3 linked regions of the Lepisosteus oculatus genome follow. The protein of the gene in region 3 interacts with the protein of the main gene of each other region in a biochemical or structural test. Links are inferred from orthologs where the notes say so. Each region holds a gene or a part of one and is shown on either strand. Other genes may lie near its edges.

Region 1 (7,206 bases), on a different chromosome or scaffold from region 3:
TGAATGCATACTCGCTTTAAAAGTACCCCAATAACATACAGGGAACTAGGTATCAAATCTAAAGATTTTAAACAGGAAAGCAAAAACCTCTCTTAACGGAAAACAATTTTCACATCCTTGTCTGAAGCCATTGGACTGCAATGTCTGGAAAATGCAAGTTAAAATGCACATACGGAGATAAGCAAAGGCACATGTCCTGGATTACAGTATGTGACCCACAGAATTTGTAGTTGATTAGATATAATGTTCAATTTGTATATTAATATTGAATATGCAGACAGTTCAACATTGCTAAAATTGTGCCCTGCAAAATTAAGTTGGGTTCTTTTCAATAACAGGTTGGAAAAGCTTGATTTTTTGATCATTCCTCTGGCAAAACCAATGTTAAATGCTGACTACTGGTTTAATTGGGGAAAACAGGATTCTGACAGGTCGTCTGCTTTTGATCATGCAGTCAGGTGTGCTGGGAGCAGAGCCTCGACAGACCACTCTGCCCTCCACCCAGACCCACAGAAAGAGGACAGGATCTGAGCCGCACGTGCACACAGCTGTGTTCTCTCCATACAAGAGGCTAAACAGGTCTGAAGCGGTTTTTTCTGCCTTTTACCATGACGCTAATTCAGCCTTGATTATGTGTCGAGAATTTCTGCACCTCAGAGCAAAAGGCTGAGGGTGAGGCAGCATTTTCTAACCACTTCAGAAAAATCACGATATCCACCTGGGCCTTTAGAAATCAACAGTACGTTAGATTTTTCACACCTTTTTTTACACCTCCTAGTAAGTGTTATACTGTCTGCAGTCCAGGTCAAATCTGAGTCACATGCTAAGAATGTAGTATCTGCATCACAGGAAACAAACTTCAGGACATGCAGAATGATCTTCAATAATCATGCAAAAAAAAAATAAGAGCACCAAAACCTCTTTGAGATAGCTAGCTTTTACAAAACAGAGCACTGATTTAACCCTCAAATTGATAAACATCCCAATTAGGCTAGAGATTATGAGAAAACAGTCTGTTTTACATGCTGCTCTTGAAATGACAAGAATAAAAAGTTAACGTTACCCTTGAAACCACATCATGAACTGCTCATTGCATTTAACAGTGCATGAACCTGTAACTTGAACTTCCTCAAAAAGCACAATTGCATTTGACTGGTAAAAGAATGGTTTAAAGATGACAGACCAAAATGTTTTGACCCAAATTACCAGAGCTCACTGCAAGAGACTTTCTTTACCAGTTGGTCATTAACGCCTAATTGGCATTCAATGAGAGCTGGGGAAAAAAGATGAACTACAAAATCTATCCAAAAAAAAGATTTTAATTTACCAAAAAGTTCTCATCCAATAAAAGTAAAGGTGCTTTAGCTCTTCGTAAGATGAACTAGAATCCGGGCCGTCCTGCCGACCATCAAAACTGCCCACCTGACTGACCCCTGATGGGCACCAGTTAACTGGGAAGCTCTTCAGCCATTTTTATGCCGATGAAAAGATGCGAGTCGGGGAGTAACACTCGCAGTAAATGAGGTGAAGTGCATTACTCACGCTATCTTGTTCGTGATAATGGGCTCGGTCATTGCTCAAACACTCACGCTCCGACAATGCCTCCCTGGAAGGTCTGACTTCGTACTGAGCTGGGTGAGACTTTCTCCCCTCCTGTCACATCTGGGCTCGTCGCGCAAGCCCATCGTGACTCAGAAGTGTTTATTTGTGATTCGCGACAAATTAAATCTGGTTCTACCGCACTGTGAAGGCTGCCACAAGAAACAGCGAAGTTACACTGTCCCGTCTTCCTAGCTGCTCTTTCCAACCGGCTGGCGTCCAGTTCTCCAAACTTTTTGGAGATGCCGAGGGGGCTGTATGGCCTAGATTCAGTAATCCGTGCGCTGCGGATGAGGCAGGGCTCAGCGAAGCGAGGGGACAAGAAGGTGTAAGTTTATGTAACATGCTTTAACTTCATGATCATATTAAGTACTTAAGCTTAAAATTTGAAATTGGTAAAAACAACCTCTGAAATAACTGCACGACGAGTTGGACTGAAAGAACTAACACAACATAATCAATACTGGAGTCACCAACAACGTTCTTGACACTAATATTTAATACCAAGACCTGAGTGGTTTTCCAAGACAACATTTCACATGTAGACCTTCAAATAAGCGCTAAATACATCGTACCGTTTTGCAGTAAACTCCCGTTATGTCTCTGGAGATCAACTTTTATCAGTATCATACACACAAAAGCGTCCGTTAAAAAGTTTCAACTGATTACTTCCATTTCCCCATTTTCATACGAACATAAGCGCTGCTAATAAATCGAAATTAAACTGCAACCATTTACGAGCATGCTTACGCACTCCGGCTACAGGAAAGCTCAGACTTTAAATGAAATTATCACACAAAGCCCCTGCAGACGCGTACGTAACACAAATGTGAATTTGTGTTACGGAAATTAAGAAAATTGCAACTGGTCGTTTAAAAAACATCAAGCATGACCAAGATTATCATGTCCTCGAACAGCGCTAAAATGGTAATGACAGTAAGAACATTCATAAAACCAGAAGTCGCAGAGTACAATGAATAACTTTCTTTCGTCAGCCTCAGAAAATAAAATAGTATTTTGATTTCAGACTTAGCATTTTACCAACATTCAACAAGTGTCAAGAGGTCCTTAAAACATCGTTTTAAACACGCGATTAGTTATTAAAACGTTGATTTCACGCAAATAATTGAGATGCCTCTTACCTCGAACTTCGTGATGTTCAGTTCGCGTGTTCTCCTTTAAGGAGCATAGCCTGCCCTGATCCAGCTACAAGTTAGCAAGGACAAACCTACATTGTTTCCAACAACTTCTCTTCGCTCTTCCAACCCCGTTGCTGGCCGGTGTACGTGTGGAAAATTAATCCTCCAAGACTACGCCTTCAATGTGCATTAAAAGATCAACAACAAAACTCCACCTGGAAATACAGCAGAAAATGAATAGATTTTAAAGGGAAAACGACCACTAGTTACTCTGCAGCTCCCACTGTTCTTGTGTGCTGCGCGGCACGGAGCATGCTTCGGTGGGCGGGCCCTGCCAGCTTAGAGGCTCGGAGACCGGCTGCGACGGACAGCGACTTTCATTGGTCAGACGGGCTGTCAATCCGACCTTCTTCACTGTATGATTATCAGCAAGGTAATTACCCGTTTTGCAATTTATGAAAAGATAGAAGCTGTTGTTGTTCATTTTTTTTATCCCTCAAAATGTGTTTACTTCTCTGTTGTTTATTTAGTCACTTTAACTCTGTACTTTGTCGACTTTCCTAAGACTACGAGGCAGTAAATACCGTTGCCAAAGGTAACAAACCAGTGTACAATCAAGTCTTCCAGTAAATCTGCGAAAGTTTAAATGAGCAGCTTTGCCCGTTGATTAAATACCATCCATACCTGTATAACACTATTTAAAAAGCTATTTTATGGCCGTTAAAAATAATTTAGTCGTATATAGAAAGATGAATAACATTTTCAGCATTTGTAGTAGTGTTATACTAGTTTCACTATCGGAACAATAATAAAAATATATGTATAACCTTTAAAAAAGCAAAGTGGTACTAGTTCCTAAAGACAATTCTATTATTGTTTATTGTGTATTTCACGAATCTTTCAAATAGAAAGAAAATTGACATCTATAACGTTTATTTAAAAAGCAAAGGCTTTGCTTTCAAACATGCTTCTCAGCGTTGAATGCTAAAATTCTGAGAATGCCATCTCTTGACATGACCAACTATATTAATATACGGTTATACACGCTGTTCAACAAGCTACCTGGTTTTATGAAAGGGTGGAGTGTTCACAAAATAGTAATCTACCCTCTTTAGCAAATCACTGTCTTTAAACGTAATTGCTATTACGGGAAACGCCAGGCTTTAGCCAAGCTCCGTACACTGTGATGAAAGACTGAGATGCGCTAATTACAGCTGCATGAAGTCTGAGGCGTCATTACCTTATTATACAAACGCTGCCGCGTGCGTGCCGCCTTCTTTGTGCAGAGCTTTACAGTGTTAGAAGTGTTCTTGTGGAAGAACTGAATTCACTGGGAGCTGTATCGACCATCGGACGTGCCAGACATTCTGGTATCAGGAAAACTTAAAAATAGGGTTAGGAAACAGGACATTGAAACCTACATCAAACTGTCAAATAAACAGAACAGTATACTGTCTTATAATACAGGTTAGAATGAATAAACCAATTTTAAAATATGCATTATCAACCAATAAACGTTCAGTACGCAAGATATTCGTATATAAGCCCATCATAAACATGCTTCATTTTTGCATTTATTTCTTAAAATTCACGGACGCACGCATTAACTCTTCGTTAAAACAATACCTTGTATGCGTGCGAGTAAAATTGAAAATCTCTTGCGGTTACTTCAGTGTCCTCTGGCGGACTATAGGGGTAATGCATTGACCTTTTCTTCGTTTAGTGTATTTACAAAATTGGACCACTTGATACAATACAAAGCCAACGTATTCCACCACAATTCTATCTAAAAGTTAAAAGATGTATTTGATTTTTGCAGCTAAAGTAAGTTTAGAACTATTATGTCTCTCCATTACCAGGCATATCATTCAACCATGAAAGATCTTCACATACTGATTAAACAGGTTTGAGTAGATGGCTGCATCAGCATGCACTCAAAAAAAGGAAATACACGTAACAAAATGGGCCTTTTTTAATTTTTGTGCCACTCACCATCTGAGGTGATGTCAATGTGGAAACTGAGTTTCATCTTCCCACTTGTGTAAACAACCTTATTACAGACAGCTGTCCTCCTCCTGTGTGTACAAGAGGATGTGTATTGTTATCTAGTGTAGATTATGTCATTTCAATAAACAACCAGTTGGCACCATACAGTGGAAAAAAGGTGAAATACGCCTCGATTCTTCAGGTCCTTCACAGGAATTCAAAATCTACAGGAAGCAGACAGTGCAGCAGAGTGTTGAAGAAACACAGGCATCTGGGGTTCTTCCAGTCTTTAAACAACAACTTTCTGGCTGCGATACATGGAATCCAAAAAAAAAAGTGAATGAACGCTGAAGAGCTCTTAATCTTATCTGTTTACATTCAGCAACATGCTACAGCTTCCAGGCTCCAATATCACAGGAGCACCTTCATGGAGGCTGCAAAACACAGCTTTTTACTGTCTGGGGGAGCCAAAGAGTTCTGTGAGGAAACTAGCTGGTCAGACATCTGATTTCCTGGGGTACCTGGTTACCTGCTGACATGGAAACCCATCTCCTCATGAATGTTTTCTGTCATTCTCAACATCAAATGTGCAGTGTTATGCAACACTGCGCAGACACATGCCAAGTACAAACTTGCTATTTTTTTTCCCTCCTGCTCAAACTAATTTCAGAGCAATGGATGGTTATAAGACTTGTGTGTTTATCCTTCAGGCCACCTGGCTACAAAGAATCATGCGTCCCCTGATTGAGCAGATAATAAATATTCCCTTTAACTGCTCGGGATAACAAGAACCATGTGGTTTGTGTTTTTCCTTTCCAGCAGCTGCATCTGAGTCCCATCTGCCAGACTTGGTGTTGCTGTTCGTGCTGTGGGATCGCCCTCACGGCAGAGCGCAGACCCCAGGCTGGCTGGAGTGTGGGAGACCCTTTGCAGGCCAGGTTTTAATTACGGCCGCAGGACTAGACGAAAAAAATGCTGACGACAGGAGCAGTCAGATGAGCTGTCGGAGCAATCTGGCATGGGCCACGCTGAGCCCGAGACTTCTCCGTCGGCTTGCAGAGGCTGCCCATCTGAACCGATTAAGAGACACCACATGAAATGTTGTTTTTATCCTCTTTGAACTGCACCATGTGTTTCCTGTGCTCTTGAGATGCAGAGGCTCAGCGGATCTCAGGCTCTGTAATCAGGCTTGTGCAACAGGAAGAGCACCATTCTGCTTCCTTGAGCTGCGCGGGCTGTATGGTGTGTGTGGTTCTCAGGACCATGGGACTGAGCAGAAACTGATCAAATTGGTGTTTAGGAGCCTCTTGGATTTTCGCCTTAGAGATCATGACTTCAGAGACAGAAAAGGCCTGATTTTGGTTCCAGTTAATGTGGTGAAGCTGTTATAAAAGGATACCAATCTCATCTCATCATGTCAAACTGACAATTACAAAACTTTATTGCAGGGCCTATCGCCTTCAGTGCTTAGCACTGAGTATGAAACAGGACTGTATACAGTATGAGCTGGGTCTTCAAATTAATCAGCATCTCAGATTACCCCTACAGCACAAACAGTATAAAGAACTGCTTATGATACACTATTGAAGATTTCTTTTCAATGAAGGATAGGAGATGAAAAATAACTATATAAAATATTTTTTAAAACGACAAAAAAGTTTTAAAGGTCTAGAGGGAGTTTTACGTATATTTTTACAATTACAACCCAATTGTACATGGCTTGGCTTTGTGGCTGCGATTGCTGTACCACCTTACCTACAGTAGGAGAGAATGGGACATGCAGACACCTTCTTCTGAGAAGCTCTACAACTTGTTACAAGTGGTGCTTCTCTCTGCAAGCCTGCAGGTGCCCAGCAGGTGTCGCTGTTTTTAGGGATGCTAGTTCACTACTGGCAGACATTAACTTTGCTGTGTCGGTCAAGCTCCTGCAGGGGAGGGCACCCAGGTGACAGCTGGCCTATGACATGGTTGGTACAGCAATAGCAAAGGTGCTGCATTTTTACTGTAGTACATAGTGTCTGCTACTACAATCAATACGTTATTTTTAGATTCTAAATAAGGCAGATGACTAATACACATTTCAAATATTTTCAATCAAACAAGTAATACAAGCTGTAAGGGGGAGGAGAGGGCAGCCACATTTCTCCAGAAAAGAGAAATGGCACATGCTTAAAAGTCAGACCTGCCAGAGAATGCTGCTGCCAGACAACCCTAAGACACCCCCACGTGGTAATTCTACCAAAACCCTGCTCCTTCACTTTGATTCTTCCTTCTCCTGCACACACAACAGAAAGTGAGCACAAGCATGCAAGCTTACATGTGAGATTGCCACTGACCTATTGAAGAGATTCACCGGCCAATTAAAGTTAAGACCGATCCACTTACATCAACCCGGTGACGTTCATAAGAAAAGGCTTAGTGTTTTTCGTTTTCTAGGGAGCCACTTGGTAAGAGGGAGGAGAAGACAGAGCCACCATCTTTG
Region 2 (6,872 bases), on a different chromosome or scaffold from region 3:
TCCAATTCCGCATTCGGGTTACCAGAACCAAGACCGGAAACAAAATTATACTAAAAAGCTAAAATCGCAGAGCAGACTGAATCCTCCTTTTTTAAAAACAGAAGTAAACCGCAAGGTAACCCTACGTTTCTGACTGACTTGAAAGAGGCTGCCAACATCATCCCCGTTTCTGCAGGGGTGGACTGTGAATCCTAACCAAGTCCAGGCTTCCACAGTGAGAAGTCATTCAGGAAAACAAGAGGTAACCGTCAAGTCTACCCTGGCAGTTAAGAGATCAGAAATACACAAAGCGCTCCTTCCCCATCTTCTCCATTCTAGCATGTTGTAACATCAGTCAATTGCATAATTATTTAATTGCATGCTGCACGGGCCAATTAAATAATTAAAGACCAGGTTGTTGGAAAGTCCTGCAGTGTGAGGTGCTGGAAGAACGGCAGGTCTAAATGCCCTTGGCTCAGATCAATCCGGGTCCCCTTTACAGTATTTCACTCCGCTCCAGTTGGGATCACACCGCCTTCCTGCCTGCCTTGTGCGCATTGCCAAAAAGACCTTTAGCTTGATCAACCTCTGCGGGACAGGAGACTGAGCAGGTAAGCAGCACCAAGCAGTACGTGGCGGCAAGAACCGCAAACAAGCCAATAACGTCACCCACTCCCCTCTCCACAGCCATGACAATGATGAAACATGCAGTGCTCAATCCCATAGCAGGAAACCTTCCACAATGCATTCAGCTCAATGTGGCACACAACATTTCCTCCACCTTCCAGCCACCTTGTCTGATGGCAGAAGAGTAGCGGACTGACTGTGGTTTGATTCATGGCTATCCGGGGAAGTAGAGGGCCCTTCATTCCTCATGCTGAAATCATCCACCACACACAAGTGGATGCTTAACATCACCAGGGCCAGCTCGAGGAGCAGCCATCCCATTCACAACGAGGAACTCGGTTAAGGCATTCTGAGCTTCACCTACAGACACATTTATTTTTGCAGTTGTATAAAAAAAATGCTTTGAACATGAAAAACCAGGCTTCACCATTAACTAAGTGAACACACCTCATCTAAACCTGAGGAAAAAGCAACCGCAAACCGCACCACAGAAAATGAGTGATGAAGCACCACTAAAACTCCAACAGGAGGAGTTCACTAACAAGTATGTCAGTTGAAAACTTCACAGCTGCTCGCGAATTGGAGAAGAAAACATGCACTCATCCCGCCACAACAACGATACGATTCCACAACGACTACGGGCGCCTAACCTCCCGAAGAGCTGCCGTGCACTCGCCCCAGGGGGATTCTGTCTCGCCCGCCGTGGGGAGGCGGCTTGTAGCCGCAGGCAGGCAGGTAGCCCACGACTACACACACCCAAGCGCACACGGCGACATTTTTAAAGCGACATTCCGGTGACGGCGGAGGAAGAAGAGGGAGAGCGACGCGCACGCCGTCTGCTTCCGTGACCTACACCTGTTTCCCCACGCGTGGAGAGGATCTCCCCGGCTGCTCTGACCGGCACGCGAGGCCTAACCTCCCGTCCTTAATGAAGCGTTACCGCCTCCCCTCCAAAGCTCACCTTGAACCAGGAGATAAAATAACTGCGGCCGCGCCGCGACCTTGGCAAGCGGGCGCAAGGGACACCGGGCTGGCCGTGTGTGTGCCCGGCGTGTCGACAAACCGAGCAAGTGGGCGATTTTAAGTGTATCGCAAGGTCTAATCGGAAACCCCCCCCCACCCAACACACACACACAACACGCCGGCGTCCTTCCGAAAAGCCCCGTTTCTGCAGCAGAAACTTAACAGACAACCTCACACACAAGCATCGTCAGGCACGTTGCAGAAAGCAGGGACTGCAAGCTGCTACAAGACGAGCGAAGGTGCACCGCCATCCCCGCTACATTTCGCCAGTGGGGAAACCGAATTTTAAAAAAAAAAGAGAGAGAAAGGCAACAATCTCATTCCACCCCAGTCATGCGGCACCGCAGACGACAAAAACCAAGGAAACAATGCAAAACGAGCGATGCCGCTGTAGTATATGTATGCGGTATATTGCGAAGGCGAGGTAGGCCGCAGCGCTCCTGGTCACTGGGCGAATGAGGAGAATGAGTCACCTCCAGACCCGCCGAAACGGAATCGCTCTCCTCCGTCAAATTCACCGGGAACTCGGCTACCGGCGGCCTTCAGCACGGCGTCGGGCGCTAGCGGGTTTTAACGAGCCCATGAGGATCACCGCTCCGGCCCTTCAAACCTCCCCGCTTCGCCGTCTTTGTACCTCTCCGGTCCGGCGGCGCGCACCACACCACCCCGCTCCTCGACTCGGGTCGCAGGCGGTGCCGCGCCGCTATACGGGGGGCCAGGGAGGTGGTGATGGTGGGAGGGAGAAGCGAAAGATTCAAAACGGCTACACTTTCGAAATCACACACGCCGCCTCCGCGGGCGGGCGACCCCCTCAATCCAGCCGGTGCGATACTCCGGTGCTCCGGGCCAGAACAAGGCAGCCTCCTTCGGTGTCTTTGTGCCCAACCGAGAGGAGGGGGGGTGTGTGTGGAGAAAGGACAAAAAATAATGAATAATCCCGTTTTCTGTTCTTCCAAACTACAGCAAAGACCTACTGGGAATGCACGGAGGTGAGTGGTGGTGGTGGTGGTGGGGGGTTAAAAAAACCCAGTTCGGAGACTCGAGTCGGGAAGGCTCGCCTGAAAAGTTAACTTACGGCTCCGGTGCTCCCTGAGGTTTGATAGGTCGCTGCTACGTCAGGAAATCTAACGCTACTATTAACACGCCTGCTGAGCCGACAGCCCCGTTCGCCTCGCCGCCGCCGCACATGGTGTGGGATACGAAGCGCACGTATACTTACTGTTTTTCTTTTTTGTAAAGCGCCACCGTGAATTGTATGCGACTATCTAAACAGATTCGTGCCCTTCTCTTAATCCCCCAGCGTGCTCCCCTCTCTGTCTGTCTCTCCTCCCCACGTGCTGGCAGTCCGGACACTGGACTCTAAAAACAGACACAACAGCTGATCACATCTCGCGACAGGCCCGGGCAGCCAGGCGGGTCTCGCGGAGGTTCCGAGCCAGGCGTCGAATCCCGAGAGGCGGGGTTTAGAGCAGGAAGGAAACTGGCGCCCCTCCGGCCTCCATGTTGGCTCAGGCGCCCGGCGCTTCGCCGGCGGGACGGCGCCGGGCGGCCAGGAGCCGCCATGGCGTGGGTTTCCGCGGCGGGCGACCTCTGCCCCTATCGCGAGGCTGGGAGGAGGGGACGCGTCACGGGCCGACGAGAAAAGCTCGTAGTGTTCACGGATGGTGGCCTGAGAGAATCTGACGGCACGGGCAGCTCATATTGCCTGGCTTTTGGTGTGAAAATAAGAATCGCTGCTGTTACTTGATTTAACGTGGGGCTGGGCTCATTCATTGTTATAAACCTCCTGGGAGCTAGAATATTGTAACGAATTCGGGTTTCGGTACGGAACGGAGCAGGCATGGGACTCGGGGAATAGGACTGAACACATTTATTAACTTGAACTTGAACCGGAAAAGGTACACACACAAGGACAGAGGTTACAGCGCTGCACCTTCTCTAACACACACACGAAAGGAAGGGGCTGTCTCGCAGCCTCCGCCCTACTATATACCGTCCTGTAGTCCCGCCCCCAGGCGCTGTTCTCAGCCCGCCTGGCGGGGCAGTACAATATACAGTCTATACACTATCATACTAAGAAACAAAAGCAGCCACCCCCTTTTAAAAACGGTGTCTTCTACTGAGACGGTGGAAAAAACAAGATGGGGGCTGCACGTTGGTGGTGGTGGAGGGGATCCCCATTACCTGTAAAGCGCTTTGAGTGGAGTGTTCAGAAAAGCGCGATATAAGTGTAAGCAATTAATTAATTAATTAATTAATTAAAAGCGTTTCCATCTCGTCTTGTCCAGATCGCATCCGAGCTGGGACTGGTCAGTACGGGAAAATGTATCTCAAAAAAGAACCTGCTGTAGTGATGTAGTGATAGACCAGTAGGTGGCAGCCAATGGGCGACACTGCACCATAGGAGGCGCTGTCCTTCAGATGAGTTAAACAGATCCTGCTGTATTAAAAATCTCAGGGCAAGAGGCAGGTTGTTAACTCCAGTGTCTGGGGCAAACTACACTCTGGATTTGTATAATCTAGGGCTCCCTATTTTTTAAAAAATGAGTTATGCATGTACAATACAAGTGATATGCAATGTTTTGTAATGTATTCAGATGTACAGAACTAGTATGCATCCATACAAAAAATTCCCCATGGGGGACAAAGTTAATCTTATTTCCTGGGATGAGGAAGAATCTACAAGATGAAAGGCTAAACAATCTGTTAACTCTCATGTTATTAGTTATTGTATTTTTTAAGTTTATTTTGATTTGCCTGTGAAGCAAGAAAAGTCCCCCTAAAGTCTATGGACCTCCTTTTCATGTTCGGAGCAGAAATCCCAAAACGTGAGATTATGTAAAGTCAGTAACGATCATTTAATTTTTGCGGGCATGCTTTCATCATGCAAGAGCGTGATGCTGACTGCGTCTGATGAACTGTGCAGTGTGCGTCAGGATGCCTTCGCAAGAGAAAGGGTTTTGCATTGTGAATGGTGCTAATCTCTGGTTTGACTAAGCAATTAAGCGTACTTCCCTCAAGTGCCTCTGCAGTTAGTAAAAGCACAAGAAGAGATCGATCAAGGAGCTCAAGTCCACAGGACAGGAAAGCTGACAGTAGCAGCCACTATCTGCCTTAACTTTCTTTACTTAACGTTTTTTCCTCATGGTCCCTGAGCTTAAAATATAAAACTCACAGGTAGATATAAGAGGTGCTAATGACAAAAATATTTGTAATCTAAAATAGTTTCTTGGATCCATAAACTTCTAACAGCAGGATGTCTTCTTCTTAAACATGATTCCCTTTCCACCAAAACAGGCACTGCACAATTCCAGTCTTTGTGCCTGCATGGTACTACAGTTAAAGGCATCAGCTACACCCAACTAGTCAGCTAGTTTAACCATTAACTAGCCATTTGCACAAAAGGCCTCACAGACTGGGTTTTCCACCTGTCCTGAGGTGTCTTGTATTTAGGCTCTAGCTTCAGTGGGTAATGCACTTGTAAGAAGTTCAGAGCAAGAGAAAGCAAGTTACCTGGCAGGGAAAAAGCATTCAGAGCACAAGCCGGACACAAAAATAAAGCTGGGACAAAAATAATCCCATCAGCTCATCCATACAGAAAAATCTGCCTGGACTGCTTTAAAAAAAAAGTTCACTTAATTATAATTTAAAACGTGCGTTTTTTCTTCTTCAGCTATCTCGGAGGACTTGTCGGCTCTCTGCCTGGGTCACCCGAACAGAAGGACACCAGCACAACAGATGTTAACAGGTTGAATTTACATTTTTACTTCCAAAAAAAGTCATACATACAGGGATGGAAATGGAAAGGGAGAGAGGTGGGACGAGCAAAAACTTTGAACAATGATTTCTACAATGGTAGCTACGAGTAACATATCCAAATCTGACAGCAGTTTCTGTAGCGTCTGATGAGTTCCTCTGGCATGTCTTTGCCACACAGAAGTAAAAGGAATGAGGCTATTCATTAAGGTAACATTGCTCATGGCGAAGTCCAAAGGGAACAGTAAAGTTTACCTTACACAGTGCGAGTTTATAATACACAGCAATTTGTAGTCATCTCTATTTTTTTCTCAGTATGTTTATTTTAATGGCATAATGCAATGAAAGTGGAGAGTATCATTACTAACACTAGAATAATTAAATTTGTATGTTATACATGTACAGCAACTAACTGCTTTACAAAAAAGCAAAATAATACAATATATCGTCACATGTATTTACAGTGTAGTAAATATACCTTTGTCAAATTTTACACAAAATATTTACAGAGGTGAAACGTACTGCATTAAAAAAAATAGTGTGGCTAACGCTCAACAGTGACTCCTTGTGGCGAAAATGTGTTTTGCATAACCTCGTGGAAGAGGTGCCTAATTTTAGGTCATTACTCCTTGCAAACGACATGTCTGACTGCAGTTAGGAATAGTGCAATTCTACACACTACAAAACAGCCTTCACACAAACCAGGTCATCTGCTCTATGTGCACTCTCAGCTTTTAAAATCTTTTTGAAAATCATTAGGTGCCCTCAGAAAATGGTGGTTGTATTTTTTAAAAGGTCTCGGTTCCGGATGAGCTTTGTTTCGCTGTCCAGTCAGAGGCAGGACCTTTATCTCTGCAATGCAAACCAACAGCCGCCACTCAGTCTGCCATATTCTGGAGTTCCCAGCTAACAAACGTCACGTCTGTGCTTGCTAACCTTTTCAGTATCCAGTTCCCAGTCCATCGCTATTCCCCCTACAGTTGCGTACCATTGTCACACAGGTGCAGAGCATTCTTTTGAGGAGGAATTCGCAAAATATTTCTCATTAAAGGGTGAGAAAATGGGAATTCCAAAATGAGTGAAAATATTTTTAAGTTTGTTCCTATTCAATAAACAATTTTTACTAATTCGGTATCATCTATTGAAAACTGAAATAACCCCGCATTGGAGACTAAAGGCTTATAAGCGAGTTGATCCAACTAGTCGTTTTTCCCTTCCCATACAGTTGTGCAGACAGAGCTTCTCCCACCTTCTGCTAAGGTGCGAGATTTCTTTCTGCGCAACGTCTGCATCGCGCTGCGCCAGGTGACACTTGTGACAAGAGAGAGCAAGTTGCCTGGGGAGGGAAAACTGCATTCTGCACCCTGGCACGAAACACAAATAAAGCAGAGATGCACCCAGAATCCTCCCCTCAGCTGAATCAGTTTCGTCTCAGGCCTCTCCTGTACAGCATCTCGGTTACTGGCGGTCCAAAACCTAGAGAGACT
Region 3 (6,829 bases):
ACTCAAGACTCAAGCCTCTCTCTCTGGGACTGTAGCTAAAAATAAACCTAAAATAAGATCCCAAACACAAAAAAGTGGATAAAACCAAGAACTGTATATCACCAGTGCCAAGCAGCAAGTGTACTGGTATATACAGCACAGTAAACGTATACACACGACACATGACCAAGACCAACGCGCCAGGATACAGATGCCTCCCCGTCTCTCTCAGCCCGGTCTCCGAAGTGCAGTGGGCCCTGTCTGGTCACTGTCCCTCAGGCCGCTGCACAGCTCCGGATTCTGCAGCCAACACCCCACCGGTTGTCCCCCAACCATTCGCTTCAATTCAGCTCGGTGGCACCCAGTGCTAATTTTGGTTTTGCAACTTGTCTCACTCGTGTCGACAAAGTTCAAAAACATCTTGAGAGCTCATTTTGCAGCACCTCTCTCTCTCTCACGCGCGCGCGCGCACGCACACACACACAGCTCATAGGGATCTTGCTCAGCTGAAGAAAAAAAAACTCCCAAGGCCCTTCGGCAAACATTTGTTCTTCCAACACAACACAAGGAAACTCTGCTGACAGACTGCTGGTGCCGAGCTCTCCCAGGCTTTCAGCCCCCACTCTAGAGCTGCCCTCCAGTCACACAGAAGCCATCGCTCGATCACACCAGCAGCCCAGACGAGGAGCTTGGCAGACTGACGGATTCTCACACAGGCTCATTTTCACACCCCTCACACACTGACCACTGAGACCAGGGCTGAAGGGACAGGCCTGTTTAAAGAGCAGAGTGACAGTGGCCCAGCTCCTCCATGACTTCAGACCTTGGTCACCGGACCCACACAGACCCTCTCCGCCAGTAAGAGAAACCCAGCCGGGCTCAGAGGAGCATCACCATCATCACACCTGCGCAGGAGTGGGAGACTCTCTCTCAGCACACAGGTGCGCCGCTGTCAGTGACCGGTGCCGAGACTGGGCCAGCCCACTGACACGGCTCATCATCAGCAGCGGGGGGGCGGGCGTGCTCGGAGCTCGTCTCGCACCCGCGTGGACCGCTCTCACGGTTTCAACGCGCGGGGGGGAGATGTCAGGTACTGGGTCCACGCCAGTGTGAGGGGGGTGGGGCACGACCTGTTGAGCTGGGACTGCGCGGAATGAGGAGAGACCCGTGCACCTCAGCTCGACTTCGCTCTGTGGAGGGGCGACACACGACTCACCCCCCCCTGACCTGACGCGCACCTATGGAGGCTCGTTAACCCCCTCGATACCCAAGGAACCCAAACAAGCCCATCCGCTCGCCGACTCAATCCACGCCCAGGCACGCCGGCCACGATCCCGCAGGACGCGGCGCTACTCACGCTCGAAGTCGGAGTCGTCGTCGTCGTCTTCCTCGCCCTCGTCCCCGTTGGACTCGGTCTGCATGGGCTCGCCGTCGAACAGCACGGCCTTGGCGGGGGCCCTGCCGGCCCGGCCGTCCCGCAGGCGGGTGAAGTACTGCACCGCGAACTCCACCAGGTCCGGCGGCCTCTGCCGCAGCACCTCCACGGTGTAGCCCTGCAGCAGCTCCGTCAGGCCGGCCGGGATCTCGATGCTCATGGCGCTGCCTGTGGTTTATTTTCGTTCCCCTGTGAACTCACCCCTCAGAGGAGGGTGTGCGAGTGTGTATGTGGGGGTCTGGAGGAGGGGTCGGGTCAGCTTTTGTTTGATTTAAAAAAAAACAAAGCGTTTTAAAATAGCGCAGGAATGAAGGGGGGGGGGCGGGGTCGGGAAAAAATATTTTTTTTTTCTGTTGTTGTTGAAACTGAAGTGCATGCAATACGAGAGAGGGGAGAAAAAAAATAACACAACACGGTGCCCCCTGACTGGGAAATAATACCTAACGTAACACGAGCACGCGTACGGCAAGCCGATTACACGATGCACACACGAGTGGGAATACTCTGTCGTGGGGAGCAGCTGCACACAGACACGCGGGGACGTGTTTTCTGACAGCTCCAAATCGCACAGATCCTCCTGAAGCGGCGGCGGCGGCTCAGACCCGCTGGTTTATTCGGGGAGGAGGAGGAGGAGGAACACGCAGACGAGCAGCCCGGGCCGCTCCGTGCGGAACCGGCGGTGTTTACGAACCCCGGCGCGGCTGGCTCGTGGCCGGGTCGGGTTAAGGCCCCGCTCGAGCCCTTCCCCCCCCGTGCGCTCGAGGCGAGGAAAAGTTTTTTTTTTAAATGAAAAAAAAAACAAACGTTCGGCTCGCGCGCGCGTAAACCGCCCCGGCTGGAGGGCAGGTTTTTTTTTTTTTTGGGGGGTATGGGGGACCCCGCCGACTTCACCGCTCCGGGCTTGTCGTGAGGCTGTGGGCTTTATTTATCTCTCGATCTATCCGCCCGCGTCTCCGGTCCGGCGGCGGCGACCAGCCCCTTCGGGCGAGGCTGCGAGGTAACTCCCCGGCTCGACAGCCTCCTCTGCGGGTCTCCCCGTCTACCTCCCCTTCCTCCGGGGCGCCCCCTCGCTGCCTGGCCCGTGACGAGCGCCCGGGCCGCCGGGGACCATGAAGGGCCGAGACCGGGGAGGAGCAGGCCGGCCGGGGCTGCGAGCGCCGTCCACCCCGCTCCGCCTGGACCGGCCCGCCCGCCTCTGCGCTCCGCACCGCCAACAGAGGGAGAAAGGGGGACGCGGGAGCTCCCGAAGAGCGGGTGGCTTTCTCTTTTTTTAAAAAAAAAACAAAATACAGCAAAGTCACAAGGAGGAGAGGAAAAAAAAAAAGGCGTCAGTCCAAAAGTCAAGATAAACCCTTGGCTGCGGCTCGGGCTGTCTGTCCCTCTGAGCGTCCCTCTGCTGCTGCTGCCGCCGCCGACCAAAACCCGACTTTTGTCCCCCCTCCTCCTCCCGGGACAGGAGTCCCCGGCGTGCCCGGCTTCTTCTTGAGTCAGTTACTCGAACACGAATTATCCGCTTGTTGATATTTACAGTCGTCTCCCGCTCTCTCCGCGTCTCCCTCGCTGTGCCGCTGCCGGCGAGACCCTCGCTCTCCTCGGCCGGAGCTGCAGAAGCGGCAGTGAGGAGGAGGAGGGGCCCGGGCGAAGCCGCTGAGCGACGTGCCTACCCGCCAATCAGGAGCCGGCCCGGCCAAGCCGACGCCAAGAATTTTCCCTTATTTGGGCATGGAGTAGGCGTTATCGCCCCGCGCGCGCGGGAGGGGAGGGAATGGGGCCCCGGTGGCGGAATCGGAAGGGACCAATGAGCGGAGGCGGGGGGCGGGCGAGTGAGGGGGGCCTTGTGTAACAGAGGGCCAATCGGAAACGAGGTAAGGCGGCGGCGGCGGCGCAGCCAATGGGAAGGCCAGGCAGGGAGGAGACGTCACGAAAGGGGAAGCCGAGAACGCGGGAGGGGCTGGAGGTGTGTTTGACACCGCGCCTGGCAAAGCAGGGAGCACTCCGATTGATCAAGCGTGATCGATAAGCTGGATCCCGATTGCACCGCTTGGCCAGTAACTAACGGCATTTCCAAAGCTCGTTAGCATACGCCCGCCCGAAGGCTTTAGCACGGGGCAGGTCTGCGGCGTAAGGTACAGGGTGCATCATTCGCGCACGCCAGCGTTTCGTTTTCACTCTTCTTGGGTGCGCTGGGATCGATCATCGCCTCCTTTCCTTTAACCCCATTTCGTAACATTGCGTAAATCCCTCGTGACCCAGTCGGCTTTGTCTGAAATCCTGGTAATTAAAGCCGTTCTATTTTCGTATCTGATTAGGTGGGCCGGTACCAGACGGTGAACTCCGCGCAGCGGGTCACTGTTAATGCGGCTGACCGTGCACATCGGTGGGCTATCCCACGCTGCGCTAGAGGTCCCAGGTCCGGGGGTGCATCGTGTGCGCAGGGCTCCCTCTGGTGGCCACTCCTGGTGCTGCACCCTCGTGTTCAGACACGTTAACCTGCCCCTTGCTCTTTCACGGCTGCAGCGGCTCGCCTCGTACTGCGATCGGGTTAGAGGACTTTCTTTCTAAGATGCTGTTAGGCAAACCTACTGCCCTGCTTCCTGTAGTGCAAGCGCATTCATCGTCCAGTTAGCACCTTGGATAAAAAGTGGCAGCTACATAAAGGCAGAATAACACAAACACAACCAAATACACACAAGTGCTGGGGTCAGGCTCGTTTGATAACTGGGTTTAAACCAGAGTCAGAACTGTAGCTTAGAAGGGTCAATAAATGTTCCTCTCCACACACACTGGAGGGCATGTACATATACACATATATACAGGTGTACAGTATATATTCTATATACACACACTGGTATTCCCTGTATTTTAGCGCACTGCTTGCTTGACATTCAGGAAGGTTTTTAAGGCAAAGTGTTCTAAATCATTTTTTTTAGTCTCAGTTAAAGGCCATCGTTAAAAAAAAAAACAGGCAATTTCGAATGAAAAACGAGAACAATCAAAAAGATATTGCAGCCGAGGACTGCAAAGGTCTGGCTCTTGTCCCTCTCTCCACAGGTGCGTCTGTGTCCTGACCTCCAGCTGCCCCAAAGGGCAGAGCAGGGCGGCGCTCACAAGCTGGGAGCGATCCAGTTGAGAAACTTCATGGCCACCTCGAACCCCAGGAAACAGGCCTGAGAGAGCGAGGGAGCGAGGGAGAGAAAGGGGGAGATAGATTTATACCAGGAGAACACTCATTCAGCAGGTTTATACACATGAAACACTGTCCATATGCATTCAACAGAACTGGGAAAGTCCCTGGCCACCCAGAGAGGACAGGCTCAGTGACCACAGCCTGGACACAGGCAGACCTGGCTGTCCGGAGAGGACAGGCTCAGTGGCCACAGTCTGGACACAGACACTGGACACAGGCAGACCTGGCTGCCCAGAGAGGACAGGCTCAGTGGCCCCAGTCTGGCCAGAGAGACTCACAGCGTTGGCAGGGAAGGCACGCAGCATGACAGCAGTGAAGCCCTTGTACAGCGAGGCCACGCCCTCCTCGCGGAGCAGCTCTCTCAGGACGTCCCGGAAACCATGTGGGTACCGGCCCTCCGGCGCTGCGGACAGAGGGGCAGAGGGACCGGGTCAGTGCACACCCCTCCCTCCTCTCCCCCCCCAGTCAGAGTTCAGTGGACTGTTCTGTTCTCCACCCCCTCCTGACCCCTGAGCAGAGAGAGAGACCCCTTCTTGTTCTCCCCCACCCCTCCCTCCACCGGCCCACGACCCGTCTCACCGGTCTGGTACCGGGACTTCAGCACGTCCGGGGGGATGGCCACTGCCCAGTTGAAGATGCCCGCCATGCCCCCGGCAAACAGCACGCTGGGGACGCTGAGCTCGTTGGGACTGGAGAGAGAGGAGAGGAGGGGAGAGGGGGGGGGTCAGTGGGCCAGCTCTCCTCCCCGTTCTGTTCAGCCGGCCTGGTTTCGAGAGCCCGAACGCACCCCGATCCAAACGTACGATTATAGTAGCCCCAGATCGCCAGGTGGCGGCGGGCCCCCCAGGCACACGCCCCCTGACCGACCCGGTCAGGCCCGCGGGTCCCCGGCCACATCTGGGCCAGCGGTGACCAGAGAACTGCATGTTGGGGCTCTGGGCCCAGCGGTTGGATATCACACCCCCAGCCCCCAGCGGTGCCCGGGACACTTGTGTCGTCTCTGGGGGGGGGTCAATGAGCCCCCCCCCCGGTCAGGGGCACTGCTGACCAGCCCCCCGCGCGGCTGCAGAGAGACGGGCACGGGCGCTGACCTTTTGCCCTCGGGAGTCAGGATGTGCTTCAGCCACTCGTACGTCATGAAGTACATCCCGCTGGCCGGCACGTCTGAGAGAGGGAGACAGCGCCGGTATCAGGGTCTCAGTCTCGCGGTTCGGTTCGTTTGTCATACACACAGGCGCAATGAAATGCTTATTTGCACGTTCGCTCCTATACACAGACATCAAAGGAATCGCCCAAAAGATAAAGACAGAACAGCAGCAGCAACAACAAATTAAATGACGTATAACAAAAAAAAAACAAATACGTTCTCTCTCTCTCTCAGTGTCTCTCCCAGTGTCTCTCTCAGTGTGTCTCTCAGTGTCTCTCTCAGTGCTAGAGTCTCTCTCCCAGTGGGTCTCCCAATGGGTCTCCCAATGGGTCTCCCAATGGGTCAGTGGGTCTCCCAACGGGTCTCCCAGTGGGTCAGTGGGTCTCCCAATGGGTCTCCCAATGGGTCTCCCAATGGGTCAGTGGGTCTCCCAATGGGTCTCCCAATGGGTCAGTGGGTCTCCCAGTGGGTCTCCCAGTGGGTCTCCCAGTGGGTCTCCCAGGGCCCTCCCTCGTCAGTACCTCTCATGAGAGTGAGCACCGTGCCCTTGTAGACGCCCCTCAATCCGCTCTCTCTGTACAGCTGCTTCACGCAGTCCAGCGGCCCGGCGTACTTCACCTCCCCCGAGGCTGCCTGGATCTGCAGGGCCACAGAGTAAACCCGCTGTCACTCAACCACACAGCGCTCTCGGCTCAAACCCAGCCTCACACCCGTGGGGCACGGCCCTGACCTGCAGGAGGCACTTGATCCTCTCTCCAGGAGCCATGATGGCAGTGGTGAAGACTCCCGACAGCATTCCCGCTGCGAAGAGCTGGGGATACCTGAGAGAGAGGGCAGAGGATGGAGAGGAGACAGGAAGAGGCGGGGAGAAGGGGGGAAGAAGGCAGGAAGGGGCGGGGAGAAGGCAGGAAGGGGCGGGGAGAAGGAAAAGAGAGTTGGACAACATGGAAGAGGGAGTGAACCAGGAAAGAGAGGGAGGGATGGGGAATGAAAGAGTTAAGGGAGACAAGAGGACAAAGAAGTTCAGGCACATATTTGGGTTTACAGAGCGTCGCTCGCAAATACTCCTGGGGTGCACTAC

Evidence for each region. The genes of interacting proteins can lie anywhere in the genome.
Region 1: the proteins of cAMP-dependent protein kinase type II-alpha regulatory subunit (region 3) and akap13 form a complex in vitro, tested with the Homo sapiens proteins (3 studies listed by BioGRID, with this or other methods). The link is inferred for Lepisosteus oculatus from reciprocal best matches to the Homo sapiens genes PRKAR2A and AKAP13.
Region 2: the proteins of cAMP-dependent protein kinase type II-alpha regulatory subunit (region 3) and akap1b form a complex in vitro, tested with the Homo sapiens proteins (2 studies listed by BioGRID, with this or other methods). The link is inferred for Lepisosteus oculatus from reciprocal best matches to the Homo sapiens genes PRKAR2A and AKAP1.

The regions. Positions count from the first base shown.
Region 1 is NC_090700.1:54,735,332-54,742,537, reverse strand, and holds the start of akap13 (A-kinase anchor protein 13), read right to left. Parts: upstream 3,011-7,206; 5' UTR 2,742-3,010; intron 1-2,741. UniProt on the Homo sapiens protein: Scaffold protein that plays an important role in assembling signaling complexes downstream of several types of G protein-coupled receptors.
Region 2 is NC_090721.1:6,861,382-6,868,253, forward strand, and holds the start of akap1b (A kinase (PRKA) anchor protein 1b), read right to left. Parts: upstream 3,011-6,872; 5' UTR 2,849-3,010; intron 2,790-2,848; exon of another isoform or gene 2,705-2,789; intron 2,673-2,704; exon of another isoform or gene 2,604-2,672; intron 2,483-2,603; exon of another isoform or gene 2,264-2,482; intron 2,234-2,263; exon of another isoform or gene 2,103-2,233; intron 1-2,102.
Region 3 is NC_090699.1:65,621,274-65,628,102, reverse strand, and holds the start of cAMP-dependent protein kinase type II-alpha regulatory subunit, read right to left. Parts: upstream 3,012-6,829; 5' UTR 1,575-3,011; coding exon 1,337-1,574; intron 1-1,336. Other genes in the region: slc25a20 (mitochondrial carnitine/acylcarnitine carrier protein), read right to left, coding at 4,519-4,581, 4,880-5,004, 5,181-5,290, 5,693-5,765, 6,270-6,387, 6,479-6,569. UniProt on the Homo sapiens protein: Regulatory subunit of the cAMP-dependent protein kinases involved in cAMP signaling in cells. Type II regulatory chains mediate membrane association by binding to anchoring proteins, including the MAP2 kinase.